5 linked regions of the Neurospora crassa OR74A genome follow. Each later gene encodes a partner of the first gene's protein in a complex. Links are inferred from orthologs where the notes say so. Each region holds a gene or a part of one and is shown on either strand. Other genes may lie near its edges.

What was found.
Region 2: NCU04009 (region 1) and NCU04155 share a complex: the UniProt entries of both Schizosaccharomyces pombe proteins name them as parts of the RNA exosome complex. The link is inferred for Neurospora crassa OR74A from reciprocal best matches to the Schizosaccharomyces pombe genes rrp4 and csl4.
Region 3: NCU04009 (region 1) and NCU00812 share a complex: the UniProt entries of both Schizosaccharomyces pombe proteins name them as parts of the RNA exosome complex. The link is inferred for Neurospora crassa OR74A from reciprocal best matches to the Schizosaccharomyces pombe genes rrp4 and rrp41.
Region 4: NCU04009 (region 1) and NCU03159 share a complex: the UniProt entries of both Schizosaccharomyces pombe proteins name them as parts of the RNA exosome complex. The link is inferred for Neurospora crassa OR74A from reciprocal best matches to the Schizosaccharomyces pombe genes rrp4 and rrp43.
Region 5: NCU04009 (region 1) and NCU08026 share a complex: the UniProt entries of both Schizosaccharomyces pombe proteins name them as parts of the RNA exosome complex. The link is inferred for Neurospora crassa OR74A from reciprocal best matches to the Schizosaccharomyces pombe genes rrp4 and mtr3.

What each region holds. Positions count from the first base shown.
Region 1 is NC_026506.1:2,431,707-2,437,145, reverse strand, and holds NCU04009 (exosome complex exonuclease Rrp4), read left to right. Parts: upstream 1-2,484; 5' UTR 2,485-2,767; coding exon 2,768-3,931; 3' UTR 3,932-4,233; downstream 4,234-5,439. Other genes in the region: NCU04010 (malonyl CoA-acyl carrier protein transacylase), read right to left, coding at 1-1,094, 1,165-1,354; NCU04008 (mitochondrial ATPase), read right to left, coding at 4,239-5,439. UniProt on the Schizosaccharomyces pombe protein: Non-catalytic component of the RNA exosome complex which has 3'->5' exoribonuclease activity and participates in a multitude of cellular RNA processing and degradation events.
Region 2 is NC_026505.1:5,017,449-5,022,982, forward strand, and holds NCU04155 (exosome component 1), read right to left. Parts: upstream 3,313-5,534; 5' UTR 3,008-3,312; coding exon 2,534-3,007; intron 2,460-2,533; coding exon 2,289-2,459; 3' UTR 1,658-2,288; downstream 1-1,657. Other genes in the region: NCU04154 (hypothetical protein), read right to left, coding at 1-1,027; C-8 sterol isomerase erg-1, read left to right, coding at 3,753-4,185, 4,273-4,610. UniProt on the Schizosaccharomyces pombe protein: Non-catalytic component of the RNA exosome complex which has 3'->5' exoribonuclease activity and participates in a multitude of cellular RNA processing and degradation events.
Region 3 is NC_026501.1:7,075,850-7,081,779, forward strand, and holds NCU00812 (exosome complex exonuclease RRP41), read right to left. Parts: upstream 4,075-5,930; 5' UTR 3,468-4,074; coding exon 3,160-3,467; intron 3,051-3,159; coding exon 2,537-3,050; 3' UTR 2,237-2,536; downstream 1-2,236. Other genes in the region: NCU00813 (disulfide isomerase), read left to right, coding at 645-794, 872-2,236. UniProt on the Schizosaccharomyces pombe protein: Non-catalytic component of the RNA exosome complex which has 3'->5' exoribonuclease activity and participates in a multitude of cellular RNA processing and degradation events.
Region 4 is NC_026501.1:4,751,020-4,756,796, forward strand, and holds NCU03159 (3' exoribonuclease), read left to right. Parts: upstream 1-2,311; 5' UTR 2,312-2,508; coding exon 2,509-3,582; 3' UTR 3,583-4,152; downstream 4,153-5,777. Other genes in the region: NCU03157 (hypothetical protein), read left to right, coding at 1-137; NCU03158 (alpha/beta hydrolase), read left to right, coding at 665-1,930; NCU03160 (hypothetical protein), read left to right, coding at 4,392-4,808, 4,889-5,777. UniProt on the Schizosaccharomyces pombe protein: Non-catalytic component of the RNA exosome complex which has 3'->5' exoribonuclease activity and participates in a multitude of cellular RNA processing and degradation events.
Region 5 is NC_026504.1:3,955,565-3,961,166, reverse strand, and holds NCU08026 (3' exoribonuclease), read right to left. Parts: upstream 3,020-5,602; 5' UTR 2,827-3,019; coding exon 2,694-2,826; intron 2,635-2,693; coding exon 1,907-2,634; 3' UTR 1,835-1,906; intron 1,773-1,834; 3' UTR 1,075-1,772; downstream 1-1,074. Other genes in the region: NCU08027 (nucleoside diphosphatase), read right to left, coding at 1-215, 275-293; NCU08024 (mannan polymerase II complex ANP1 subunit), read left to right, coding at 5,336-5,445, 5,531-5,602. UniProt on the Schizosaccharomyces pombe protein: Non-catalytic component of the RNA exosome complex which has 3'->5' exoribonuclease activity and participates in a multitude of cellular RNA processing and degradation events.

The sequences.
Region 1 (5,439 bases):
CTGCCACTCGTCGTCCTCATAAAAGTCTGTCTCCTCCAACCCTCTGAGCACCTCCTCAATCTCCTTCGGATCCGTGATTGCCCAGACACCGGCGCCCTTGATGACGTCCTTCCCGCGCATGCCCACCTCCTTGCCCACCAGGTTCCGGCCCACGTACCCCGGCCCGATACCGACCCATCTCCTGACCTTCATGGACTGATCCAGATACTTGATGCTGTCCCACCACTGTACCGTCTCGACCGCCTGCCGAGCCAAAAGGTCCTTGAGCTGCTCCCTACTTTCAAACGGCCTGGCCGTCACGTTGCTAATGCACGTAACCTTGCCGGGAAACGTGATAATGTCCTCCTTTTCCCTCCCCTTGACCATGCTGTTTCCCGCCATCATCTGCTGCAGCACCCCGACGGCCGGCTTCATGATGGGACTGTGAAACGGACTGTCGCTCTTGAGCCTGACCGCGCGTGGGTCGTGTCCCAGGAACTGCCGCACGTGTTCCACCAGTGTCTTGATGCGCTCAATGCTTCCGCTGAGCACGATTTGCGTCTTGCTGTTGACGTTCGCAATGAGCACTTGGTCGATTGGGCACCATTCGTCGGCGCTCTCCACTTTCGAGCCGGCGCTGTCGTAGCCGACGAACTCGTGGATTGCGGCAATCAAGGGTGGCAGGTGCTCGGCCTTGCTACTGACGAGTGCCACCATGCCGTACTCTCCGCCATACATCTCCTCGGCCTGCCGCGTGGCATTGGACATGGCTTCCGCTCGCTTTTGCACCATTCGCAAACTATCTTCAAAATGGATATAGCCGCCTGCGACAAGCGCAGCGAATTCGCCAAGAGAGTGACCGAGAGTAAAGTGGGCATTGTCTTGGACTCTAAAGTTGAAATGCTTTTCGAGAATGCGGATGATCAATATCGAGGTAGCCATGATGGCTGGTTGTGCGTTGGGCGACAGGTTGAGGTCCTTGCCGGGCCCATTTTGTATCACGTCCGAGAGCTTGTGGCCCACTATCGAGTCAATTTCGTCGATGATTTCGGAAGTTGTCGAGGGAAAGGCTTCTAGCCAGGGCGTGAGCATGCCGACTCTTTGGACGCCTTGGCCTGTATATCTCATGGCTGTCAGCATCGTTCTCTGTTCAAAGCAGGACAGCGCACTACTACTACTACGAACCTGGAAAGAAGATGGCCGTCTTTGGCCGCGTGTCTGGTACCGGGAGATGTGTCGCATGTCCTCTACGCTGCCGTACCGCTACCGAGCGCGGTAATGGTGATATCCTGAGGGGTATTTTTGTGGTGACATTGTTGCATGTGAAAGGAGGAAGCGCAAGCGCAGGCCGACGAAGGGGCCCTCGCAAAGGCATATCGGTGTATATGGACCTGGAAACCTCGATTGGTGCCCGTCCCAGGCCGTCCGTCCGTTCGGTCCGTCCGATCTACCGCGTAGTGTAGTGAATCGGTTTCGGAATCTTGGTCTGGTTTCACTGACAGTCTTGGGATGATCCACCGCTATGGTTCCCGATATGTAGTCGATATCCGATCGGCGCCAATCCGAGTAGCACACGGTTATGTCGTAGTCTGGTGGAATCCGACGTCGTGGTAGATGACGTGAATCTCGAATTCAAACAAGTCAGGTATGTTTGACGGCGTGAACCCGCAGCAAGTAAACAATGGGAGCAAATCAAAGAGCAGGACGGACGGGACTACTAATGGCCGTTCAAAGGGATGCCAGCAACTGGTGGAAGAACACGGGATGATCGGCTTTCAACGGTAGCAACAGTAAGGGCCTCCCGGGCAAGTAGGGACGGGTGTATCCTGCAAGAAGTGGAAGCTCGAGAGTGCTGTGTAAGCAGGTACGGACACTGAATCGCGGTAGGTAGGGGCTTACGAGGGCGGTCGAGTCGGTCATCAATGGAAATCTCGCTCTCACTCAACAAACCGCCCTGGAAATCGACAACCGCGGCCGGGAGTGGATCACGCCAGCCAGCGCCCGGGTGGCCCGTTGTCCCGGGGTCTCGGCTTTGTGGAGAAGGTGGGTGGGGTAGTTCCGAACGTCGCAATCTGGATCCATGGCACCTCCAATCGTTGTCACTGGGGCAGGCACTTCACACCTATTCAACGATGACACCCGTCATTGCTGCAGCAGTAGTGTACCTACCTACCGAAGGACCTGACGTGCGACGTCGCCTGGGCTGCCACTGGTGCGGCTACAATACTGTTGGCTTTCAATTTGCAGTAGAAGTAGGTTTGAGGAGGAAAAGGTCCCAGATCCACTCATTGTAGTTACATAAGGTAGTGTAGTTGCTAGATAAAAACCTCAAGGACGCGGACGGGAGGAGGTAAGTACCTGCCCAGCACCTACACAGTACCTGAGTACCTACGTACTTTGCGTGGTGTACCTGCACTGCATGTGCCTCTATTTTGTGCCCGTGCACGACGACAGGCACAACAAAGGCCCCACCAACCGTGTAAAGTTCAATCGTCAATACCGTATCGATTTCAATATCAGAATTTCCAATACGCAAACATTTGAACGTCAACTCATCAACTCCAAAGGGAACTAAGCAACTGGAAGGCCCATACAACATCCTTTGAGGCCACAAGACGAATCGACACAAACAACAAACTTCTGCAGGTCAGGATAGTCACATAGTAGAACTTGAGATTCGAGAAGGTCGACAACGGAACCAGGAAGGAAGGATTCATTCGGACCTTCATCACACCAACAAACACTCAACGTTGAGATCGCCATTTCACACCATCCACAACCACACAACATGCCCATCACAATCCTCCCACCTAAAGCCTTCCGGGACCAACCACCCCGCCACAGCCTCAACCATGACTCCGACGACGTAATGTCCGACGCCACCTCCGACTCTGAAGACTCCGACTCCCAACCGGGCGGCGTCTCTCTCGACGGCGGCGCGACCATCCACCCTCGTAAGCGTCATCGCTCCGGCGCCGGCGCAGCCGCCTCCTCTACCTTCACCAAGCGCCCCAAGACCAACGCTGCCATCAACTCCATCCCGCGCTCCGCCATCGTCACCCCCGGCGAGCGCATCACCACGGACCCCCAATGGATGCGCGGCCACGGCACCTACCTCTCCTCGGCCTCTTTGGGTGAACAAGCCATCACCTCCTCGCTGGCCGGCATCGTGACGCGCACCAACAAGCTTCTTTCCGTCCGCCCTCTGCGCGCCCGCTACACGCCCGAGGTCGGCGACTTGGTAGTCGGCCGCATCGTCGAAGTTCAGGCAAAACGGTGGCGGGTCGACGTCGGGTCCACGCAGCTCGCTGCTTTGCCTCTTTCCGCCATCAACCTTCCTGGTGGCATTCTCCGCAAAAGAACGGAGACGGACGAGTTGCAGATCCGCACTTTCTTTGCCGAGGGGGATCTGGTGGTGGCCGAGGTGCAGCAGCTCTTCCAAGATGGTGGTGCGGTGCTGCACACGCGCTCGCTCAAGTACGGCAAGCTGAGGAACGGGGTGTTCATGGCTGTTTCTGGCACGGGCGGCGGTGGAGGCGTGGTCAGATCGCGCAGACAGGTGTGGACGCTGGAGAGTGCGAATAATGGCGGTCCGATTGATGTGATTTTGGGCGTCAATGGCTATGTCTGGATCTCAAAGCATGTGGAGCCTGTGGTTCCCGAGGAGGCGAAGGGCCAGACGGGCATTACGAACCTCGAAGAGGTGGTTAGTGCTACCATGTATTCGAGCCAGAATGACAGGATCGAGCCCGAGACAATGAGGGAAATTGCGAGGATTAGGGGCGTGGTAACGGCGCTGGTGGAGAATGGATTGCGGGTGGATGAGGATATGGTTACAAAGGGGTATAATGAGGCCGTGGAGCTGGCGTTGGTGAGCGCGGATGGGCCCGAGGATGTGTATTTGGGTGGTGAGAGAGGAGAGCAGCTTGCTGCTGCTTTGACGGCTGTCTAGGTCTAGTTCTAGCTGGGTCTAGGGGCTCGTGTAGTAATGCATTCGGGAACCCAAGAAGAAACAAAATGCTTCCCTATTTGATGGGGTCGCCAATCAGCTTTGAGCCGTTGAAGAGCTTCCATTTATGCAAAACACGACGCTGGTGGTGGCTTGTGAAGCCTCAAAGCCACTTTGATCACAAAATATGGCGGTATCCGGGGAAGTATATCACATAATAGCTTACAAGTCTGCATAGACCACTCGTAAGAGTACATGTAATCATCTTCAGAGCATCTACATGAAAACCAACATCCAACCGTCACCCCCATCACCTCTTCCCCTCCTTCATCTCCCTAACCCTAAACCTCTCCAACCCCACCGGTTCCTCCAGTACCGTCGACTCCCCCATCACAATCTCCGTTTTCTCCTTCGGCCCCGCATTCAACCTCACCAACGGTGATTCCAACGGCTTGCTAACCTCCTTGCCCTCCCAATGCCTCGCCTCCTTGGGCAGCGGCTGCCACCAACCCTCATCGGTCCTAGCATGCCACTGCCTGCTGCACAGCTCCCACAACCGGCTCGTCGCTCTTTTGTACGCAAACCGCTCGTCCTGGCCCGTGAACGCCGAGACGGTCTGGTTGAAGTCCACCTTGCGCGTCAGCGACACTTGCTGCTCCTTACCGAAATCCGAATCCTGGTCCGGGTCATACTCGGAAATGTTTGGACGAAAAGGGGCGATGGAGTCTTGGAACACTTCAGCAATGGTTTCGGAGTAGGTTGCGTCGCCTTCTACTACTGCTGCTGCTACCTGCTCGGTTCCATTGCCCGTGCTTTGTGTTGTTGTTGATGATGTGGTGACTGGTTTGACTGGACGCATCTCGGGAAAGAAGAGATCATCAGGCCCGACCTCGGCGCGGATGAGGAGCTTGCACTTGGATTCGTACAAGGCGTCGAGGAGGGTGATGAAACGGCGGGCTTCGTTCTTCATGGCCAGAGAGAGCACGGGGATCTTGTCGATGATGAAGGTGTGGAAAGTCGACGCCATGGTGAGGTAGTCGGCTGGGCCGTGGGAAGAGACCAGCTCGGAAAAATCCCAGTAGGTGACATCGTTGTGGTAGCGCGGGATGTGTACCTTGCGGCCGTAGACAATGAGGTCAGTTGGGGACCACTGTTGGCCGGTGGCATTTGAGCCGATGACTTGGTTGATGGCGGCTGTCCAGCTTTCTTCGGAGTCAGAGGGGAGGAAGTACATGGATGGTTTTTGAAGACCCTGCTCGATCATGGCCGCCTCTGAAGTTGTTGTTATTGATGGCTCTGTGCCGGGTGATAATGACCCAAAGGCGGGTTGAAAGGAGGCCGTCGCCCCTGAATCCGTCACCTTGTTCACCGCGCCTGTACCTGTTTCGCCCGTCTGGCTCTCCCGTCTCCTCCAGTCTCGGGTACCTTCCATGTGCCAAAAGTCGCATCGTGCTTTGAGAACCTCCAAGAACGCAGCAAAGTCACTGGTCTGGCCAAACATTTCTCCCTGG
Region 2 (5,534 bases), on another chromosome or scaffold:
AAGTCTCCTTCAAAACGTCCCTAACCCTCTCCATCCTCCTCACCGCCCCCTCCAGCATTTCCAGCCTCTCCTTCTTCTGCTCGTCTCTCTTCTCCAGCGTCTTTACCCGCTCCTCCAGCTTCGCTCTCGCCCTCCTTTCCGACGCGACCATCTCGTTGGCTTCCGAGAACAGGGTCACCGATAACTCCTCAATCTCACGCGACGTGGCGGTTAGTTTCGCTTCGGCTTTGGCTAGCTTGGCGCGGGTTTCCGTGTGGAGGGATTTCTCTTGGGATAGGGCTGCCTGGAGGTCGGAGATCTCTTTTTGGTGCTGAAGGGACGGGGAGGTGGACTGGAACGGTTGTTGAAGGGGGCTGCTTAGAGTGAACGATTGCGAGAGGGTGGATTGGTGCGTTGGCATATGAGGAACAGGGCCGGTAGAAGATTGGGCGGATTTGAGGTTGGGCGTTGATTTGCGCGAGGTCAAGAAGGCGGAGAGACGGGAGGCGGCGCCGGTGGGCAGGAAGGAGGAGACGGAGCTGACGCTGCGAGGGGCGGCGGGGGAGGCGTTGGCTGTTGCAGTGGTGGAGGGGGTTGCGGATTGGGGAGGGGTGGCGAGGGCTGCATCGGCGTGTTGTTGCTGTTGTTGCGGTGATGATATTTGGGACGCAACTGGGGAGGACTGGGATTGTTGTTGTTGTTGTTGTTGTTGTTGTTGTTGTTGTTGTTGTTGTTGTTGTTGTTGTTGTTGTTGTTGTTGTTGCTGCTGCTGTTTGAGTTGCCCTCGTAGTTGGGCTATCTCGTCTTCGTAGTCGGCCCAACGATCGACGGCGGATGAAGCCTTTTCGTTGAGCAGGCGCACTTGGCTTTGAAGTTCTTGGATCTTGTTGTGGGCATCGAGAACGGCCGCCTGCATCTCCAAGAAGGGTTGGGTCCCCTCGAGATCGATACCGCATTGTGGGCAGCAAGGAGCGGTAGATAACGTTTGGGTGACCGGTTCGACGATGACGGGGGCGGCGGTCATCGTCATGGTGGCGGTGGTTGACATGGCTCACCAGGGCCCCGTTAGGACAGATGATATCGACAAGGAGAGTTCGCGCGTCTTGTCGGATTGGACGAAAATCAAAGATGATGGATTGAAGCGGTTCGTCTGATCTCGATATTTTCTTCTCGGGAACGAAGTGGACTCCTGCCAGGAACAAGAAAACTAGATGGAGACGCCGTTGCGGTGGGGATGGACTGGTTCCCGTTGAAACAGGGGCAGGGAGCTTGTTGTTTTCGTCTTAGACTTTGTTTTGTGTATCTGGGGGGCGCTGAGTGAGATCGCTAACCAACACGCCGCCAGAGCTCCCACTCTGCCTCCTCCTTTTTTGAAGAATGACAAAGCTGTAAAAGGGAGGACAAGAAATGGGTGGAATGAATGTGTCTAGGTACCTCTAGGCACGCAGGGTTTCGGTGACGTACGGGAATCTACCGCCCTCCCCCGTTCTACGCCCCCCCGCCGTTCCGATGATCTTCAGCGGTATGTAGGTACCGCATGCACGATGCAAGGCCCATGTGGGGGGTATACGAGACGCCAAGCCGCCCTTGAGCCGCCTTAAAGAAACAGCACTCGTTAACGTTTGGCCCAGGCGGCGGATGACGGCACAGACAACAGATGAGGTATGTACCTAGGTATGCAAGGGAATAGTAAGGTACGTATGAAGAAGGCTATTGGTATCTTCTATGCAGATTTTAAACGGGTATCCAGTTTCTTGATGCAATGACAGGCGTAGCCGTGTCTGGCGTCACTATATCTTTCCTCGACGTGACAAGATCATACTAACTCGCCATCGTCTTCGTTATCCCTGAAACAGGCGCTGTATCATGACTGTGTTGTTCCGCTGTGTCAAGAGTGAATCGTGACATGTACCCATCTCCATACTTCTCTGAGTGCGAGCCCTATCACCCAAGACCATGTTCTGCGCGGTCTAACTTGGCGTACCTGGAGTATCCGCCGGAAACTCTGGGGCCAGGACATCTCTGGGCTTGGATTTGTCGCTGGGATGCTTGCTTGTGATGCGAGTGGCCGACCGTGTCGATGATGGACCGGCGGACCGTGAGAGCTCGACATTCGACGTGCCGCCGCATTTGCAAGTCCCCAACCGGGTACTGATTGAGCACCTGCTTTCACTACTCGGCGAGCTCTCCGAGCAGATTAACGCCCGTATCGCCTTGATAACACGCTGTACCTCAAGCTAGTAACTCCGCTATGCATTGCTTTTCAAGCATCTTTTTCATGTCTCATTTCGAAACTCCATCCGCCGACTTCAGTAGGGCTTCGCAACCTTTCTGGGTTCGCTTAGCCCCGTCTCAGGGTCCTTGTATTCCTTCCAGTTGACGGGGTACATGGTGTTACCGGCCTCGCTTGTCGCCATGATGACACCGAGCTCGTTACGCGCTGTCGACAGGTAGTAGCTGGCTTGGTCACCAAGAGAAATCTAGTGGGTGGCAGCACGTTAGCGGAAGTGTTCAGTCCATGTCTGGCAGAAAGGGAGAGGAGAAGAGCACTCACCACCTCGGCCCTGACAATATCTCCAGGCCTGAAGCTGTCGTAGATCTTTACCCTGTCCTTCTCTGTTGCTCTCACGTCCTGCACTCTGATCAGGCCCTGCCACTCGGCCTCCAAAACAGTATCGCCGCAAATTAGAATGGCCACAACGGCTTGGCGCGGCATGATGCGAATCACCCGGCATAGCACGATGTTGCCCACTTCAGGAAGCACCTCGCGCTTGTCTGACGAACCCGCTGAACGCAATACCGAGATGGTCGGTAGCTCGGCGGGCGTGGTCTGGGTGTTGATGATCTTGTTCAAGCGCTTAGCAGGGCCAGGCGCCTTGGCGGGCTGTGTGATGTTGACGACGCCGAGCAGCGAAGAGTAGAGGTTCGACTCGTGGATATGGGTTCCAGGACCGGGTTGGAACTTGGAGACAGGGCCTAGGAATTGGCCGGGGATGGCCATCGAAGGGGAAGAGGATGTGCTCGCCATTGTGTCGGTCGTTCTAGGTTGATGGAGCTATCGATGACAAAAGTTTGCGAATGGGTAAAAGTGGTATAGTATGAGACGCGGTGCGACGCGCAGAGGGAAACTAAACAAAAAAAAGATAACGATGCGACAAAACGGACCCCGCGGCGATAACAACTGAGATTGGAGCTTCTGGTACGTGGAGGTAAATGTCCATTCGATGGAATATTGAAATGTGATTGACCGGGCCCGCGGACGGGACTCAATGACGGAGGGGCACCGAAAAAATAGAAACCCCTGTCAGTGCCAAGAGCGCTGTTAGTGCCGCGCTGAGTGCTTTGCACCGACAGTGCTGCCGGGCAACTTGAGCTGCCCTGCCGGCGAGGGGAGCTTTACGGAGCTTCTGGATGCACTCCAGCCTGCCGGTGTGTCTGCCTCCAATTGGTCGTAGCGGTGGCTCCTTCAAGAAATCGGTTTAACGCTATCCGCGCAATTGAGCGTCCTTATTGGTCAAAGCTCTCAAAATCGAACGTGTCGGAAGTCGCAACACCCGCCTGGGCGGGCATGTTGCAACCACAAGGGTCCTCCACAAGGAAATCAGGGGTTGCCGTGGGTAGGTTTGTTGAGGTTGGGCTGACGGACCCCCCTGTCGGTGGTGGAATCTCTGTGGCCATTGTTTTGCTTCTTTATAATTCAAGATTCCCGTCTTCTCTCTCCCCTGTTTCTCCTCCTCGACATTGTGCCGTCTCGTCAATCACAAACCGTCACAATGCCTCCCAAGAAGCAGTCCTCCTCCGGCGGCAACAAGCCGTCCGGCTCTGGCTCTAGCTCCGGCCGCTCTTCCTCCGGTTCGTCTTGCCGCTGCAGCTGCCGCTGCCGCTGCAGTATCGGTGGCTGGCTCAAGTTCTTCGCCATCTTGTTCGCCCTAGTTGCGCCTATCGCCTACGTCCTGGAGCAGCGTCTCGAGTCCTTCTACGTCTTCGATACTGAGCACCTTCACGATCTGTCCAAGCGCGCCATCAGCGCCCACGGCAACGACACCAAGGCTATTGTCAAGTACATTGTCGACGAGCTGAACGACCGCAACGGCGTTGCGCCCTACGTCAACAACGATGAGGAGTGGGTGTTCAACAACGCTGGTGGTGCCATGGGTGCTATGTACATCATCCACGCCTCCATCACCGAGTACCTGATTATCTTTGGTAAGCCCCATCCTCCAGCACGCGTTTCGCAAGCTTGTGCTTCCCGCTTCTTCAGACCCATCACTAACAGCACACTCCACACAACAGGCACTGCCATCGGTACTGAGGGTCACACCGGCCGCCACACCGCCGACGACTACTTCCACATCCTCACCGGCACTCAGACTGCCTACGTCCCCGGCGAGTACGAGCCTGAGGTCTACCCTCCCGGTTCCGTTCACCACCTCGTCCGCGGTACCGTCAAGCAGTACAGGATGCCCGAGAGCTGCTTCGCGCTCGAGTATGCGCGCGGCTGGATCCCTCCCATGCTGTTCTTCGGTTATGCCGATACCCTCAGCAGCACGCTCGATTTCCCTACCCTCTGGCGCACCTCCGTCATCACCGGCCGCGAGATGATTAGCAACTTGCTCAAGGGCAAGTTCTAAGCATTGTGCTTTACGAACTGTCCCCTTCGCGAAGGGTGTTTTGCTTACGAAGGTTTTGGAAACCATGGGATAGAATATAGAGTAGAGATAAGGCTTCTCGGCACAAGCGGCGTCTACGCTAGACCGGAGTTTGGGTTAGATCAAGATATATCCATACCTATATTCACAATCTACGGTAACGTAGTCAAAACATTACTACAAAGATACTCTCTTTTGGAAATGTTCGTCGCCTCTGTTTGCACATTCGCTGGTGAGTCCTTGCCCTGAGGTAGTTGTCACAAACCTTCGTAGAGAATGCACGGGTTGGCTTTATTATACCTGTGTTCTGGTTTAGTACAGCTGACCCGCTCGCTTCCAGACAGACTTCTGTATTGGTGCTTTGTCTTCTCTTCTCTTCACTTCTCTCTTCACTTCTCTCTTCACTCCTCTCTTCACTCCTCTCTTCACTTCTCTCTTCGGCAAAGTGCTCATGTCCGTGCCCATGTTTTCTACATATCTATACATCACTAGGTAACCCCTGAACCGCCGTCGCGCAAACATCACGATTCCTAACATCCATGTGTACACTCCCTCGGCATTTCTCAGCACGCCTATCTCCTGCTCTAGACTTCATGCCACCAAGTAGTCTATTCCCCCCTTCCTACGATGACAGCTGGCTATACCTCGGTTTACTGTTATCCTCATTTTACTTCGGCCAAAGTAGCCAGTCCATCACCACGCCACTGCGCCGCGAGACGGGACGGCGAAACGACAAGCTGGACGAAGATGAATGGTTTTACGAACAAATGACGATTCGATTTATTCCAATTTCATCAACTTTTCTTTTGGGGAAAGCATACAAGCACTGAGGGTTACGTTTTCCATGGACAACGCCTTTAGAGTCTGGCATGTTGCCCACTGTGATCTCTTCTTCTCCTGAAGGAA
Region 3 (5,930 bases), on another chromosome or scaffold:
TTGAACATGGACTGGACCGTCCGTGACTAGCGTCGTCACCTACCCTACCCTATCTTTCCGCGGCTGTCTCTAGAGTACGTACTGCGTACGAACGGCAGGCGGCACCAATTCAGTCCAGTTGTTAGCGTCCTCTTCCCCACATTCCCGCCCAGCCCTCTGCTAGGTCTCAAGCGCCATCGATGCCATCCACATCATGATGTGCCTTGGAGCTTGGGCCACATTCCAGTCATAGCGCGTTTCAAAGCACTGAAAGCGCTCCCGGACCGCAGCTCCTCCCCTGGTGATTCTGGACGCTTCTGACTTCATTTGTATGTGGCGCCAGCTTTCACAGCTTCTGAGTTGAAATGTGTTCTTTTGCCGAACCTGGGAAGATGACAGCTTTTCCTTTCATCTCAATCGGTGTGTCTGTTTGTTGCTTCCTTGGGTTTCAAATACACGACACCATCTTTCACACGGGACTGAATCCCTAGGACGCCCATACGGAAGAGCTTCCTTTGTTCTCACTTACACTTTGTATTGGTATCGGCTATTGTACATTCATGACATTATAGCTCCAACCCCACAAACCTCATCTATCATCATCCCCCCATACATACATACCACCGTCACCCAGTAAACAAAAGCGTCGCCTTCCTGACTGTACCATGCATCATTCCACCCTCTGTGCTCTGGCAGTTGGTATCCTGTCTGCGCTCCCCGGAGCCCAGGCGGGCCTTTATACCAAAAAGTCCCCAGTTTTGCAGGTTGACGGAAAGGATTACGATAGATTGATTGCCAAGAGCAACCAGACGTCTGTAAGTACCAGACCGACTATATCTTAGATCAGCCATCGTAATAATGCATGTATGTGTCTGACCTCTCTCCCTTGCAGATTCTTGAGTTCTACGCCCCCTGGTGCGGCCACTGCCAAAACCTCAAGCCCGCCTACGAAAAGGCTGCCAAGAACCTCGAAGGCCTGGCCAAGGTCGCCGCCGTCAACTGCGATGAGGACGCCAACAAGCCCTTTTGCGGCAGCATGGGCGTGCAGGGCTTCCCGACCTTGAAGATCATCCGTCCTTCTAAGAACGGCAAGCCCATAGTGGAGGACTACCAAGGCCAGCGCACCGCCAGCGCAATTGTCGATGCTGTGGTCTCGCGCATCAACAATCACGTCGTGAAAGTCGAGGACAAGAACCTCGACAAGTTCCTGAGTGACAAGAACGAGACAGCCAAAGCGCTCCTCTTCACCGACAAGGGTACCACCTCCCCCTTGCTGAAGAGCGTCGCCATTGAATTCCTCGGTGTCATGCCCGTCGGTCAGGTGCGAAACACTCAGTCCAAGGCGGTATCCACATTCGGTGTCGACAAACTCCCTACTCTGATCTTGTTGCCTGGCGGTGATGCCCCTGGTATTGTGTACGACGGCGAGATCAACAAGGCCGCCATGGTGGAGTTCCTTTCCCAGGCGGCCCAGCCTAATCCGGACCCAGCACCGGCCAACGGCAAGACTAATGGCAAGACTAATGGCAAGACTAATGGCAAGGCTAATGGCAAGGCTAATGGTAAGGCCAACGGCAAGGCCAACGGTGGTGAAAAAAACGGAAAGCAAGACTCCAAGAAGGTCGCCTCCTCCGAAACCTCCTCTGAAACGTCCTCCGAAACCCCTGCCCCAACCCAAGAGATTCCCGTAATAATCCACACCGCCCTCCCCATCCCCTCCCTCAACACCCCCGAAAAGCTCGTCAAGGAATGCCTCACGTCCAAATCCAGCACCTGCCTTCTCGCGCTGGTATCCTCTTCCAACGAAAAAGCCCAAAAGGCCCTCACCCACCTCGCCGAAATAAAATTCAAATATGCCCTCGGCCAACACAAGCTCTTCCCCTTTTACGAGGTGCCCCTCGACACCAACCCCGCCGGCGCGTCCCTTCTCAAATCCCTTGGCCTCAAGGAGGATGCTGACATTGAACTCATCGTCATCAACGCCCGTCGCGGATGGTGGAGACGCTACGACGCTGTTGGTGAGGGAGATGATTTCTCGGATCATGACAAGGTGGAGGCGTGGATTGATGCGATTAGGTTGAGCGAGGGCACCAAGAAAAAGCTGCCGGAGGGTATTGTTGTTGAGGCTTCTTCGACGGAGGAGGAGGAGAAGAAGAAGGAAAAGAAAGAGTCTGGTAAGGCTGAGAAGGCTGCTTCAAAGGAGGGGGAGACGCCTGAGGCCCAGTCGAAGACGGCCAGTGGTCACGATGAGCTGTGAGAGATTGGTGAAAGCGTAGTTTGCTGTGACTTGTGTCAGTGAATGGCTGGTCAAAAGTTGAAGGTTTTTTGGTACCTTTCAGTTTCGGAGAACGCTTTCAAAAGTTGGCGCACGTTTAACAGAAACGACATGTTGCTCACCTGACCAAGAGCTGTACTTTTGATTACATTGATAGTCGTGAAATTCGTCAAATTCGTCATGTTGCCTATTCTTTTTTGCTCCAAGCCTTTGTAATGCTACCTACCGTACCATATCCGATTCTGTGACCCGGAGCCCAACCATTGATTCAGTAGTGTCCATTCAATCCAGTTCCATGTCATTCAACCCAACCCCTCTCTCGACCGTGCCCTCCTGTATCATCTTTATCCCCTTCTCTCTCACTACCCTGTCCAAGATCTCCCTCACCTGCTTACACCCGTCCACGCCCACGGCCAACATGCCCTCCAGGCGACTCACCTGCACTCTGCTCTCGCAGACCAGCACCGCCACGCGGTCGCTGTCGCCCAATGTGGCCACCGTCAGGCCGGGCAGCTCCTGCTCCTCCTGGTGGTTCATGTCCAGCAGCGGGTCGGCGCCCTCGTCGTTAGCCGCGTATGTAGACGTCGAGCCGGCCGTGCAGGCCGCGACGTAGTCTGTCATGGGAATGCCGGCGTCGACGCAGGCGAGCGTGGCGGCATTGATGAGGGCGGCCAGCAAAGAGCCGTCTTGCGAGAGCACGTGCAGGGAGATGTTGATGGTGGAGTGCGGGAAGAGGTGGGTGTGTAAGCTGGCAGCGAGGGCTTGAGATATCGTCGATTGGAGTTCGAGGATGTGCCTGTGATGATGGAAGAAGGAAGGATGACGGGTTAGTTATGCGAACAGTGACAGACGAATAGCCGTAGTTGACACTGGGGGGGAAACAACCCCTGGGTGTTTTGACTTACTTATCACCTCTCCCCCTTCGCTTACGGTCAACCGAGCTAAACCCGGCAATGACAATGTTTACAGCAACCTCGGCGTTCTTGGACTGACCACCGCCACCACCACCGCCCGACGTGGCTCCCCTCCGAGGACCGGGCTCGCTGGGTCCGTTAACGACACACATGACCTTGGTGTGGCCCATCTCGAGGTAACTGGAGCCATCGGCGGCGGCCTGGGTGCGGATCTGGGCATGGATGCGACGCAGCTCGTTCCACCTGCGGCCGTCGACGCGCAACAGCGCGAGGCTATATGCTGAAGTATCGAGAGGCATAGCGGTGTAGCTGGGTGGACAGGTGTTTCTTTCTATGTTCTGTTGTTCTAGCGTTTCACTCTACTCCTCTGGGTATCGTGGTTCGGGCTAATCTCTCTACCGGGCAGGTAGCGAGTACACCAAAGGTCGAGATTGGGGTACGGTATCCAGTAAGGATCAACAACAACAAACGCCCTGAGGGCCTGTCTGGGGAGCCGGACCTGAGTCGAGATTTTTTGCTCTTGCTTCCCCTGCTTAGTGTCCACCAAGCTCAGGTTGTGCTTGTAGTTGTACCCTAGTCGTTCTTCGAGTCGGGTCGGCCAAGCTCGATCTGGGAGATCGTGGTTAGTGCGTACAGTTTCGGCTCGATGGGACAGATTATTCGATGCGATATCGTGCCGCGAGCGACGCGCAAGCTCTCGGTACGTTGAGTCGGAGGAGAGAAAGGCTTGCGTAATGCGGAAGTGTCGGGGCCCCAGTTTCAGTGACTAAGTTATCGCGCAAAGTGGGAATTCGGAGCTTCCGGTCGACCAGTCTGAATAATCGACAGCAGGTTCTGGTGGACGGTTGTTGACTTTGAAATCGCCTTTTGCTAGGAATAAACGGACGTGGTTGGGCCAGGCCGAAAGTTTCCAATGGCAAGACAGGAAAAGTTTAGCTGGGCGGGGCGGGGCAAGATCCGCTGCGTCTCACGTTCGCGGGGTCGCCGTGCCGGGCTCCACCGCTCACCTCACTCGGCAGGACGGGAGTTCCATCCGCAGGGCTTCTGCTTAAGTTCTGCTTCGCTTCCATCAGGAGCTGAAAATGCATGCAAGTGGTCTGTGCATACCTCTACACTACTTGTAGGCAAGTTGTTTGCAGCTGCAGACAGAGGACGGGACGTGATGGCCCCGGAACATGGAATTGAAGGTTCCCGTCCATCTACTCTCCACGTGATCTTGACAGCCCCCATTTGACCTCTCCAGCTCATAGCGGTACAGTGAGTTGATGGCAAGATATCAATCGAATGCGCAATGTTGATGGGATCTTGATCGTGCATTGTGAGCAGGAGAGGGCCTGAAGTCTGGACTCAGGAGTGATCACTACTAGGTAGCCTACCTAGAGGTAGGTAGGCTACCTCTACTCAGGGGCACACTGTGGCAGTGGCAGTGACCCCTTGTCAACAGCAAGGAGGAAACCGGCATTCCTCCATTCCCCCCTTCGCTAAGTGAATACGGGACAACGGCCACCAAGATCATCTCATGGGTACCGCGATGCGCTGGGTGTTCGAAATGTCAATTGGTTTGTATTCTTGGAAGCCTCGGTTGAGCGCGTCGTCATCTTCTATCATCTCGGACCCAAGAGTGATCCGGTTCTAGAAGTCTGGAACGCTCGCCAATGCTCCTGGAGCTCCCTATCTGGGGTGCGAATCGATCAAGGTTCAAGAGGATTCCGTTTGGTGTTTTTGGGGAGACTTGTTCAACATCAAGTCTCTACACTAGGAGGCGCCGTCGGTCGGCGCATGATGCAGCCCTAGACAGCCGGCCCAGGCTAGCACGAATTGGCCTAGTCTATCGATATGACTGAACAGAGATCCACCATGAGCAAGTCGTCATCCAGTGACCACAATGTCTTTGTCAACTAAACAGTTTCATCAGGCGCGGTTTGTTTCTCGTTTCACTGTGAAAACCTCGAGGTGCGCGCTTACTCATTGAAGAATTACTGCGCTGGTGGCCCGACCAGCCCACGGGGTCCAATGGAACGGAGAAACGGGGCAATGGGGAAGTGCTGTGTTGCCCAGTCTACCAAGGAACGACCCGCCAACGCCAATTCGCATTACACTTTTAATCAAACTGTGGATGAACGAACCATGAATTAGCCAAGGGGGCTCGCTAACACATTTCGCGGCACTTAATCCGGACATGTGTTAGGGATCAAAGCTCTTTGGTTGGCATTGCCCCCGTTTCCGTTCATCTCGTTTCAGACCACCCGACCGCGACCAGGCTTCGAGAAACAGGGCTAGCGCTGCTATCCTTGACGCCAGAGCAACGGAACCTTCCCGCCCCCATGCTCACCTAATCTCCAGAACACCAGTCAATGCACGTGCGTCCTGTCTTGGGCCCCTTTGAGTGAAAACGAAGAGAAAGGAACTCAACGAATGGGGTCACGATGACGAGTCTATTGTCAGCGAAACAACAATGGCTTCTTTGACTTTGGCAAGCTGGACGTGACCTACCTATTCTTGCAGTGGGTCAAAGGTGCTGCATAATACAAACCTGGAAGTCAGCGTTACGCCTTTGTGCGTCGTCGAAGGGTTCCATTGTTCCACCGAACTGCCGGCGAATTATGTAGGCGGGGGATAGCAAAGGGGCCAGCCAATCACAAGCATCAAGTACCTGAGCAGATGTCGTGGACGGCGGGTCGCTGCTGGCCACTCAGGGACGAGAGATGGGACGATCACCGCCCTGACGAGTGGCAGGGACTGCAAGACCCACTCGGCTCACC
Region 4 (5,777 bases), on another chromosome or scaffold:
AAGACCCCAACGGCTCCGGCCGGCCGTCATTCTCCGTGGAGCTTTCGGATAGTGACGGGGAGAAGAAAAAGGGTGTCCTACGACGACAGCTTATCAGACTGAGGAGCTTCTACCGACGAGAGAAGTCAGAACCCTGAGGAGGACCGCTGATCTCCCTCAGCTTGCTGCTGACTTGCGAGTTTCATTTTAAAGTCATGATGTTGGCGCCAGGGAAAACGGATCACGACAACTTCAAACTTGTGGTTGGTTGTTCGGAGGATTTCCGTCTCTGGGGAGGAGAGTTACAGTAGGCGCATTTTGCTTGAAGACCCGCTCCGCCGACACCGACACCGACCCGCTTTTCCTTGGCAGCCACTACCATTCCTACGATCACAACTCTCATCGGTTATCGGTTCATGGAAGTCTTTTTGTGCCATGACTAATCGAACTAAACCTCAGCGGATGGACAAATCGACTTCCGAAACTTCCACAGAACACTTCCTTCAACGCGAAAAGTAGACTTTACGGTTTAATATCCTATCCTATCCTGAGGACGCTCTCTGAAGGCCACACATTCACGACCCTTTCTCATCCTTTGAGAGCTTCTAATTCCGAGGCAAACGACGAGCCCTTCCGGGTCAACTTTCAGCGGAGTCGGATCTCAAAACCACACTCTTGCAGCCCCATGATGACGGCCTGGGCGTCTAACCTCCGCCCTCAGGTCACTACATCTTGTCTCGTTCTCGGGGCAGTGGGTGTATCCTTGGGGTTGAGTGTCCGCATACTGATGAGCCAAAACTCGAGCAAGAAGCCAATGATAATCCCATCGCCAAGAGTCACCCACCTTCCACAGTTGTCCAAAGACGAAACCTCCTTACTTCCATACCCCCCAGATGCTCTGCCAGGTGCAAGGGACGTTGAGACCCCATATGGAATCATCAAGGTATTCGAATGGGGGCCTGAAGACGGCGAGAAGGTTCTTCTATTACACGGCATCAGCACACCATGTTTAAGCTTGGGAATCCTTGGAGAGGCGCTCGTGGAAAAAGGTTATAGAGTCATGCTGTTTGACTTTTTCGGGCGCGGGTATTCCGATACTCCAACAGACATCCCCTTTGACATCCGGCTTTACTCGACTCAGATCCTCCTGGCTTTGGCATCTTCAAAACTACCATGGACCGGCGACAACGGATTCCACATGATTGGTTATTCCCTAGGCGGAGGCATCGCCGTCTCGTTCGCCAGATACTACTCGCACATGATCCGGTCCTTGGTACTCGTGGCAAGCGCAGGACTGATCCGGTCAGAACACGTGAGCCGAAGGAGCAGGATCCTTTACTCCGAAGGCCTGCTTCCCGAGAGGCTGCTCCGGTGGCTCATACGCCGACGGATCACTCCCCAGTCAGCGACAACGACATCCGAAGCCAAAATGGCTAGCGAGGTCGTGACCGCCACCAGCAACAGTGAACAGTCCACCAAGAAGCATCACAAAAACAGCGACGCCAGCGGCGGGGACTCATTCGACAACGCGGTTCTCTTGCCGCACAGGCCCAATAGCACAGTTTCCTCGGTGATGGCCTGGCAGGTCCAGCACCAGCAGGGATTCCTCACGGCTTTTATGAGCAGCATTCGGCATGCGCCCATTTACGAACAGCGGAAGGATTGGCTAAAGCTCGGTCAGCTTTTGGCTGCCAGGCGAAAGACTTCTTCTCCTGGTGCCGATGAGGGAGCCGGGGCAGAACCGTTGCCGGGACTTTTGGGTGGAAAACTCTTGCTGATTCTTGGCTCAACGGATCCGGTCATTGTCAAGGAGGAACTGATACACGACGCCACGTCAGTGTTGGGAGAAGATGGATTCAAGGCTGTTGTAATGGATGGTGGTCATGAAATCGTTATGACGAAGGGAAAAGAGGTGGCGGGCTTGGCGGCAGGTTTTTGGTCACGGAATTAGATAACTTGGTCGCAAGGGAACAACCATTGTATATGATGATATGATACGTAGGATATATGAGTTTCTGGATGTGACTGAAGATTTTAAGAATTATAAATTGTCGTGTTTCATTGTGCGAGTAAAAACAGAAGTGGTTCGAGCTGATGCAGTGAAACGACCAAGGGGACTTACTGATTGTTGGATTCATGTCCGCGGGTTACACCTGCAGGAAGTAGAAGTGCCCTGAAAGACCACGCTAGGTTGCTAATTCAGCGGCTGTCAGGCGGTTTCTCAGCGCGCACTTGCTTTGCATGGATCCAGCTGCCCAAAGCAGCCTGGTACAGGGGGGTGTATTGGTCGATCCTCGCTGCCGTGCAACCACAAACCCCACCAAGGCTGATAGCCTTTCAGGTTGGAGGAAATTTCCCAAACAACCTCCTCCAAAACAAATCGCAGCCCTCACCAAACAACGCCACTTCAAGCTTTGTACAGCCAGTTTGCAACTCGACAACGGTCGAATCTGACATATAACAAATCTGAATCACATCAGGCACCATAACAACCACAAGTCACCAAACATCAGAAACCAAGCCGTCACAATGGCCGCTACAGTTCCAGCTCCCTCGCTGAGCTTCTCGCGACCAACCTTCGCCAAGCTCTCGCCTCACCCGTACCTTCTCACGAACCTCACCGACCCCGAAAACCCCTGCCGTACCAACGGCCGCGCCCCACACGAGGCTCGCCCCGTTCACATCCACACCTCCTCGCTCGCCCACGCCAACGGTAGCGCACTTGTCCGCACCGGCGACACCACGGTCGTCTGCGGCGTGCGCGCCGAGATCCTTCCCGTCACCAACATCCCCCAGTACCGGCCGCGGGAGCCCTCGTACGGCGAAGAAGACAATGACGACAGCGCCGATGTCGATGAGCTAAAGGACTACGACCTCCTGGTTCCCAACATCGAGCTAGCCACCGGCTGCGCGCCGCAGTTCCTCCCCGGCGTGCCACCCACGACGCTGGCGCAGACGCTCAGCACGCGCATCTACTCGCTTCTGCACAGCTGCAAGGTGGTGGATCCCAAGGGCCTGAGGGTGTGGTACACTCCGCCTAAGGAGACCAGGGAGGAGGGCGCGATGGAGGTGGATGAGGCACAGGAAGAGGAAGAAGAGGAGGAGGAAAGGAAACCGGAGCTCAAGGCTTACTGGGTCCTCTATATCGACCTACTGTTCGTCTCCTTCGACGGAAACCCCTTTGACGCAGCCTGGACAGCCGTCATGGCGGCGCTGCGCGACACGAAGCTGCCGCAGGCGCGGTGGGATCCGGATCGCGAGGCGGTGGTGTGCTCGCGGAGCGAGGAGGCAAAGATGGCGCTGGATGTGCGTGGACTGCCGGTTGCCTGCACTGCGACGGTGTTCTTAGAGAAGGAGCACGGAGAGGACTCGGGCTCCTCGGCAGAGAGGAAAAGCAGGCACTGGATCCTGCTGGATCCGGATAGGTTGGAGGAGAGCTTGTGCAAGGAGACGGTCACCGTGGTGGTGGACTGCAGTGGGGAAGAGACGAAGGTGAAGAGCATTGAGAAGCATGGCGGTACGGTGATTGGAAGAGAGCTGATGAGGGGGTTCATTGGTGTTGCTGAGGGGAGGTGGCAAGAGGTGAAGGAGGCGTCGAAGTAGAGTGTCGGTCTATGGCAGACAGGCATCTCAGGCTTGTCCTTTTCACGAGTTTTCACATGAACGAGCGTCGAAATGAGAAGAGCAATGTAACGGATTTGATACCCTAGGATGTACGGTTGGACAAATGCACGCTCAGAGTGGTCTCGATTATCACCATTGGTCTTGAAACAACTTATGATACCTCGATAGCCGGTTTGCCACCAACACGATGTTCTGCCAACATGATCATGAAGGCAGACCTACGCAAAGTTCTCAAAGGCAATGTCAGGGGCGGCAAGAAAGTGAAAACGACAACATCAGAACGAACGCGCCTGTTCAGCAGACCATGGGCAGCAAGGAAAGTGGAAGAGAGCATATCCAGGGCGGTCAGGACAGTGGGTTCAGGGCTCGGTTACCCTCTTTCCTGTTACTATCAAGGGAAGGGAATATCTCTTGACTGGATGCAGAAGGGCCATGGCTATTCCTTCCTTGAGATCCCAACCCTGAGGAAGGAACGGCACTCTAACAAAGTGAGTACCTCAATGGTCACTGCATTTCATGAAGTATCATGCAATTGTATCGCACCTTCCATTTTCCAAATGACGATACAGCCAGTGGTGAAAAATTTTACTCTTCTGATATTGAGCCCTTCGCCCTTCTCATCATCCTCTCTCCCCCATCCACGCCTTCGATTCACCCGTCTTGCAGCGTTTCGGAGGCTCACTCAAAGAAGCCAACTATTCCAGCATACCTCCAGTCCGTGCCTGCGCTTGAAAGCCCAGCTGCCGTTCACTTTCAAGTCACGCCGACTCACGCCACCGTCGGTTAATATGTCAGATCCCTCTCAGCCGGCCATGTCCCCTCTGGCTACCTTCCACCCGTTTCCAAGGCTACCCTGGGAATTACGCAATGAGATCTGGAAGCAGTCTATCCGCCCACTTGACCGCCCTGGAGCCCATATCTTTTGCTTGGACCTGCGGGGGCCGGAAGATGTTACAGCAAAGGAATGTGACATTCAATGCCCTCGTATTCTTTCAGTGCCTTTACATTATGAGCGTCCGTGTCCGCCTTTGGACATCGGCGAGAAATTCATTCACATTTCAGTCCCGGCAAAGACCTTATCGTCCGGACCCGACGGTAATCCCTCAACGTATATGGTCGATGGCGGACTTTGGACCGCCTGCAAGGAGTCACGGGCAGTGATGGAATATACGTTCAACCACCAGAAGTGGGATCCGATAAGGAAGGCATACCCAGCATACTGAAGGAGTCACGGGCAGTGATGGAATATACGTTCAACCACCAGAAGTGGGATCCGATAAGGAAGGCATACCCAGCATACTGGAAACTTTGGAAAGATACGCTCTTAGATCGTATGGACTTCGATATGCCTCCTCCCCCTCCTCGTTCACTTGGCAGTGACGACTCGCCTCCTTCTCCACCTCGACCTCCACGTTCGCCTCGCGAGAGGCCCCCCACGCCCGTTGACCCCTACAGCGCAGAGCGCTCATATCGACCGGTACCGGCAACGGCATTTTTCTGGTCATCACCTTCATTGCCCTGTCCGCCGTCCTCTAACGAGCTGGACAAAGCGGACCATTCCACAGGCCAGGCTCCAGCCTCCCCACGCTATGTCACTGTGCTTCCAATGCAGGATCTCATCATCATTCGGCCCTCGAGCTGGACCCCACATATTCATGAGGGTTACTGGCAGGCGTTTGAACACGGGTTTCCATTTGGGGCGGAGAAATATGGCTTTCCTGGATTCTGCGGATGGAATGGATTTGCCATTGAGTACGATCCAAGCTGGGGCGAAGAGCTGACAAAGGGCGCTACTTGGCGTAATGACTCTACGTGGCTTAATGATGGGTCCTTTAAGTTGCCTAACGGTACCGTTGGTATTATGGACATTATCTTCAATGCCGTTTCAAACTTTTCCGAGCATGAGCAGATCAAAACGATTTGGCTCATTGACTACCGACTCAAGCCTAAGCACAATACACCCGCAGCCATCGGAAGGCTGGACAGCAGCCAGAGGGTGTTTCATGGAGGTGATGGGTGCCAGTTTGTAGAAGTGTATCGCAAGTTTGTTGAAAGTGGCGGTCGTTATCTTGATGAGTATTACACCGAGGGCATTGATGGTGAAAACTCAGCCTTGAGCCAAGGATCGTGCCATTGGTTTATTGAAGGGTTTGAGGTTTGCATGTTTGGAGATC
Region 5 (5,602 bases), on another chromosome or scaffold:
CTTCAGATAATCTTGGCCGACTACCCCAGCCTTCTCCCCAAATGTCGATATTCCAGGTCTAATCTTCTTTGTCCACTTCTTTTTCGTCGTGATCTTGGGCAGACTGCGCAACTCCTCGGGCGTCGCATCTACAAGCGCCTTCTCGGGATCCTTCCAACGATATATGTGTAGCCGTGTCCCCGAGGACCCGGCGTCCAAGATAACACCCCATCGCCCTGTCATTGCTTCAGTGTCGCGATCTTGGAAGACCTGAGGGGGTTGCGGGTGGACGTACAGTTCTTGTCTTTCCCCATCGAGAAGAGATTAGAAGTAGTCGATAAAGCGGATAATGACTAATGCGAAATCAAGTCGGACAAGGCACAGCTGTCTCGGTTCGGCGAGGATTGCTCAAGTTGTCGTCGGTAATGGCGTAATAGGGGAATTAATGTTGTATGGACGACCGCATCGGAATTATGGCATCAACAACCTGGAACTGTTGCGGAATCGCAGTGGAGACGGAACGAATTGATCGACGGTACAAGCAAGGCTGGAAGGAGGAATTACCGGCCGCAAAACGAATGGACAAAACACTATGGAATAATTAAAAGTGTACAGTGTGGTAGGTAGGTAGGTAGGTAGGTAGGTAGGCAGCCGGGACCGTCGGAAGAAACGAGAGTAGGGGTGGTTTTGGGAAAAGTGAAATGACCAGGTGCGAAGCGAGAGAAAACTCGCCCGAAAGCTGGGTGAGGTGAGATTTTGGAGGATGACGGGAAAGATTGGATTGTCAGGTCGTTTTACAATTCCCGCCTGAGTGGACAATGTGGGCCGAACTGGGAAATGTCTGTAGTTTTTTGGAGGGACCGTGGGGGGGCAGATAAGGAGAAGTTCAGGGGAAAGAGGGGCCCGGGACCACGCCACGCCGGGGGGCGCCCCGTCGCTGAACGCGGCCGGCACTGTGCCAATATGTGAGTGGTGGTACCACGTCCGCCTTCGGATGCAGTGACTTCAGTTCCATTGGGTTTCCTTGGTGGCGTTCGTAATGCTGAAAGTTACGGACCAGAACGCCGGTAATAACGCAACGTTACTCGATCTTTGTGCAGATTATGTAGTTGATCATGTTATGTTACCTCCACCTCGAAATGTTGATAAAGATACGAGCTATTCACCACAGTCCCCTTCAGATAAAGTGATTAGATCGTGCCGGACACGAAAAGAAAGTAGTTCAGGTGTAGTGTATGTATGCCCTACGCAGTAATAGTGAAACCTCGGTTCATGATCAGCCACCACCTTTGGCCATGTCTGCCCTGCTTCGAACATGCCGTGCTGCTATGAACGAAACGATACGCGTAATCTCCCCACATCATGTTTCCAATTTCAGAAACAGACGATCATTGAGGCGAAGAACGTGGAAGCTTCTCATACCCCGCGGTTCATAATGTTTCGGCAGTCAACCTCAGAGGGTAGCTCTGCATACCAGCCACAACGCTTCTTGGACGTCATTCGTCCATCACACTGCGATCTTCCAGCTGAGTTTCAGCAAAAGAGCGCTCGCTCAACCTGTCAGACCTTGACAGGCATCTCGAAACTATTCCCGCCGGAAGTTGACCATTCCATTCTTGCAGTCAGCCGCCGAACCTCGGAACGCAGTTCTGTTGTCGCTGCTATCGATTGGCATCTTCCGTTACTTCTGCCCTACATATGGGCTATTGCGAAAGACCAAGTGGCTGGTAGCTCGACCTATTGCATCAGAAGCTGGTCTTCGGGTCGATAAATCGACCAAAATCGTAGAGGTACTCAAAGACCATGAACCGTCAGACCATAGAATTCCATGCGTTTTTCCCGTTGATGGACTTACAGGTTTCAATACGAGTATTTCCCATTCGCGCATAGCTAAAACAAATAATACATTGCCGCGCCGACCTCATGATCACCCAACGGTCTCGTTCAGGCAGTCCACGAGCACGCGGTTGGCGCTCTTGGAAGCCTGAATGCCCTTTTCAATCAGCTGCGTATAAACGTCCATATCGGACGCAGGTAGGTCACCCTTGAACCAGAGGTTGGTGACCTCTTGTCGTGTGGGAAGATATGCGATGCAGCACGCTGCAAGAACCTTCTCATGCTCAGAAGGAATCGGGTCGACAACTATGCTGGGAGCAGCGTCATTACCTGCGTCCTGTACCAACGCAGCAACACCTCCGGCCACAGTGTCGACGCAGTCAATGCCAGCGTCAGCAAGTGCAGCCGAGGCAACGGTGATGCAGCCACTCAAGGCATTCATGGTGTCCCAGGCCTCAATACCCTGGGCCTTGGAGGTCTCCCGATCTTGCTCTCCTTCAACAATGGAGATGATGATATCCACTCCACTCTTTGGCCAACGGTCAGCAATGATAGATCCCCGAAGAGCCGTCTCAAGGTGAGTGCCGAGATCTCTCTCGATCGGGTCACGAATGTAACCACGCCTTTGCTTGGTCGCAAAGGGTGCAAACTTGACATGGGTGGACAAGATGATGTGAGGAGAAAAAGGTGTTGACCTGGGCAAAGCTCTAGGTCCATGAACGCTGCAACTGAGCTTCAAGCCAGAGCCGCCGTTTCCAGACGACTCGATCTCTAGGTAAGCAGAGCCAGAGGCCGACGGTGTCACTCCCGTCTTGAGATCTAAACGTGAGGTTAGTCTGTGTCTGCGAAACAGGAGGGTTTGTCCTCGACGTGCTTACACATTTTGCGAATTACGTTCGCCGGGCGTGACCTTGTGACCTTGAAACCTTCGGATTGCTTCTCGGGTGCATCGTCATAGATGGGAGGGTTGGTAGTCCCAACCGGTCCGTTAATACGTCTTCTGTCGGCCATTTTGAAGCCAAGATACGAGGGCCGGAGATATGGTGGGCTTGGTGATTGCTGTGTTGTTTCCGATGCCCTTCTCTGGTCGAAGAATCCTGAGATAGGTGAAGAGGAAGAGACCTCGTCTGTGTATGGCTTTCCTTGTTTCACGGTTGGTAACTTCTGTTGGTACCTCTGTTGACTGTTGAAAACAAGACGTGAGAGTCGCCGTCTACACTGCAGTGGGTCCACTCTCAAATTCAAGTAGTTGTGGCGCAACCTCACATTCACTGTCGATTTTGATCAGTCAGCCACATGCCCCACCCAGAATTCCATGTCAAAGCCACCGATGGAGGAATTTTTTGCGCAGCTACAAAACTCTGCCGCCTTCAGTTCCAACCTCATCTTGAACTCTTCCACCAACCCACACCGTTCGCAACGGCAGGAACGGCTTGCGATTGTCGGCATTGGATCAATGCCTTCATTTGATATGGCCACTGTCTTTGGGGAGCAGCCATGATACCATGGTCTTACCGTGCTCATGGTCGCTTTGGTTGGGCAGCCTTCTGCGCTGGCGCAGCAATGGCATGGTCATGTCAACTGTCCAGGCATGCTCTTGGTTATTCTGCGATGGCGAACCCCATTGCTAGAGAGCATGTCCTGGCTGTCTGACATGGCCGACGTTGGTTCGCACGGATAGAGTAAGTTTATTTCCCCTTGCCTTTCACATCTCATGATGATCCCATAACCACAGTTCTCGCGATAATCTCTGAGCGATCGAACAAACATGCACTACCATCTGACTACTCCTTCAACACATCCTTCACTTGCAACTCATTTGGAGGAACCGTTGACTGACAATCAATAGTACAGACAAAGTTGTTATTGTCACCGTTGCTGTTCCACTCCGTTTTCTCAGTCTCTACCCACTAGGTAAGCATCACATTGTTTTCCTTTCTGTTTTCTTTCCCCCACCTGACATCATCACCCACCCGATTGTCCATGATGAAACAAAATATTTTCAGTTCTGCTTCTGAATAATAATGAGCGATAACCAATTATACCAAAACCTTCTGATATGGCAATCACCCCAACTCTTTCTTGCAACGACAGCCCTCACCACACATGCTGCGAGCAAGTTGGCTAACAAACTTCAAGTTATATAGGATCTGAAAACGATCTTGCGTCTAGTGGGAGAGTCGACATGCCCATCTGGTAGGTACTTTGCCTTTTTTTTTTTTCCTTTGTCCCATGCACAATGATGACAACAGTCTATCCATTCAACGATATGTACGGGCCGAGCCATCCATCCGCACTGGAGCGTCTTTCGGGGCGTGAGGACTAGTTGTGGTGTCTCCCTTCGGGGTGTCATTTGGCTTCCGTTGTCCGAGTCTCCTGCGCACCGTTTTGGGGCGTGGGAGGCTTGGGCCGGCTTTGTAGGGCTGAGTTAAAACGGCTTGTCTGATCTGTGTCGTCTTCGCCTTCTGCTCGATGCCGATTCGCGTATGACCTTGAACTGACCGGTCAGTAGTTGATGGCGTGAACGTTTCATACGTTTTGTTGCAACGCATCTTTGACGAGGTAAGGTTTGTGTTCATGACTCGACAACTCAATGACCCCAGTAAAATTGGATGTAGTTGAGGATCGACGGTGTGCCTGTCCTTGACATTTACATAGGGCTTCAAGATATCAGCAAGGATAGAACAATGAAAACAAGAGTTGCAAAATAGTTGATTATCTCCAATCAGACCCAAGATATTGCCCTTGATGATGTGCAGGAGAAGTCCAAACCCAGTAGAACGAATGACCGGACACTTGCCGCGACGTAAGCCCGGTTTCCCTTCAAATCATCTGTGTCTCGAGGTTGAACATCAAATAAATTGAAGACACACCCTGATGTACCCATCTGTATTGCACACAGATGATAACTACGGCACAGACTCGACGGTACTTGCATTGCCACTGTTTCAGGTCGACTTTGCCGTCAATTCTGGAGCCTTGTCCTTGGCGACTTTAAATCCTGTACACTGCACTAGAACCCCTGAAACCAAGGCGTCAAGTCTGGGGTCATTTGTGGGTGGGTGCAAAATGCGCTACAATTGGCAGGACCCCGTCGAACGGCCGGGCCACTTTGCGACGCCATTGGTAAAGAAATCCATCCCAACCCGCCAATCTTATCTGGACTGGTACTTAGTACGTGTATCGATCCGTCAAGCTGCCCACAGCCCGGTGCGAACACCTCAGCTTTTTATCAAACGACTCGGTGCTACAGGAACGCGATCGTCTTGATCTTCCGCCCAAACTTCTCTCTGACCGCGATGCATTGATCCTGAACCGGCCTGGTCCCTTCTCTATCATTTCGACACAGTTTCGGCAGCGCGTGCGTCGAGAACATCCAGCGAGAGACCGCCCAGTCTGCAGCATCTGTTAGCATTTCCGGTTCGCAGGACTCAGGTACCCTGCGTGTGCGCAAAGGGGGGTTGAGGTGCTCGATAATATTGGCCGCCCCTGCAGCGACCATCTATCACCAAACAGCCCAATGCTGCCGTACGCATCTTCCTCCGGGTCCAAGGCGGTCCCTCGACACCATGCGAGCGGATATTCCAATGGGTACCCGCGAGGAAACACCTTTGAGATTTCTCCTCACAGGTAAAGTGCCCCCCGCCCCCTGAATCACCAGGCGAACGAAACGAACGTTGGAAGCTGACGGGAGCGGCCTCCTATCATTCCACAGGTTCCAACCTCGAGGCGCGGCACCACCATTTCGAAGACGGAAGGGACTATTCCTGCGATTGGCAATAGCGCT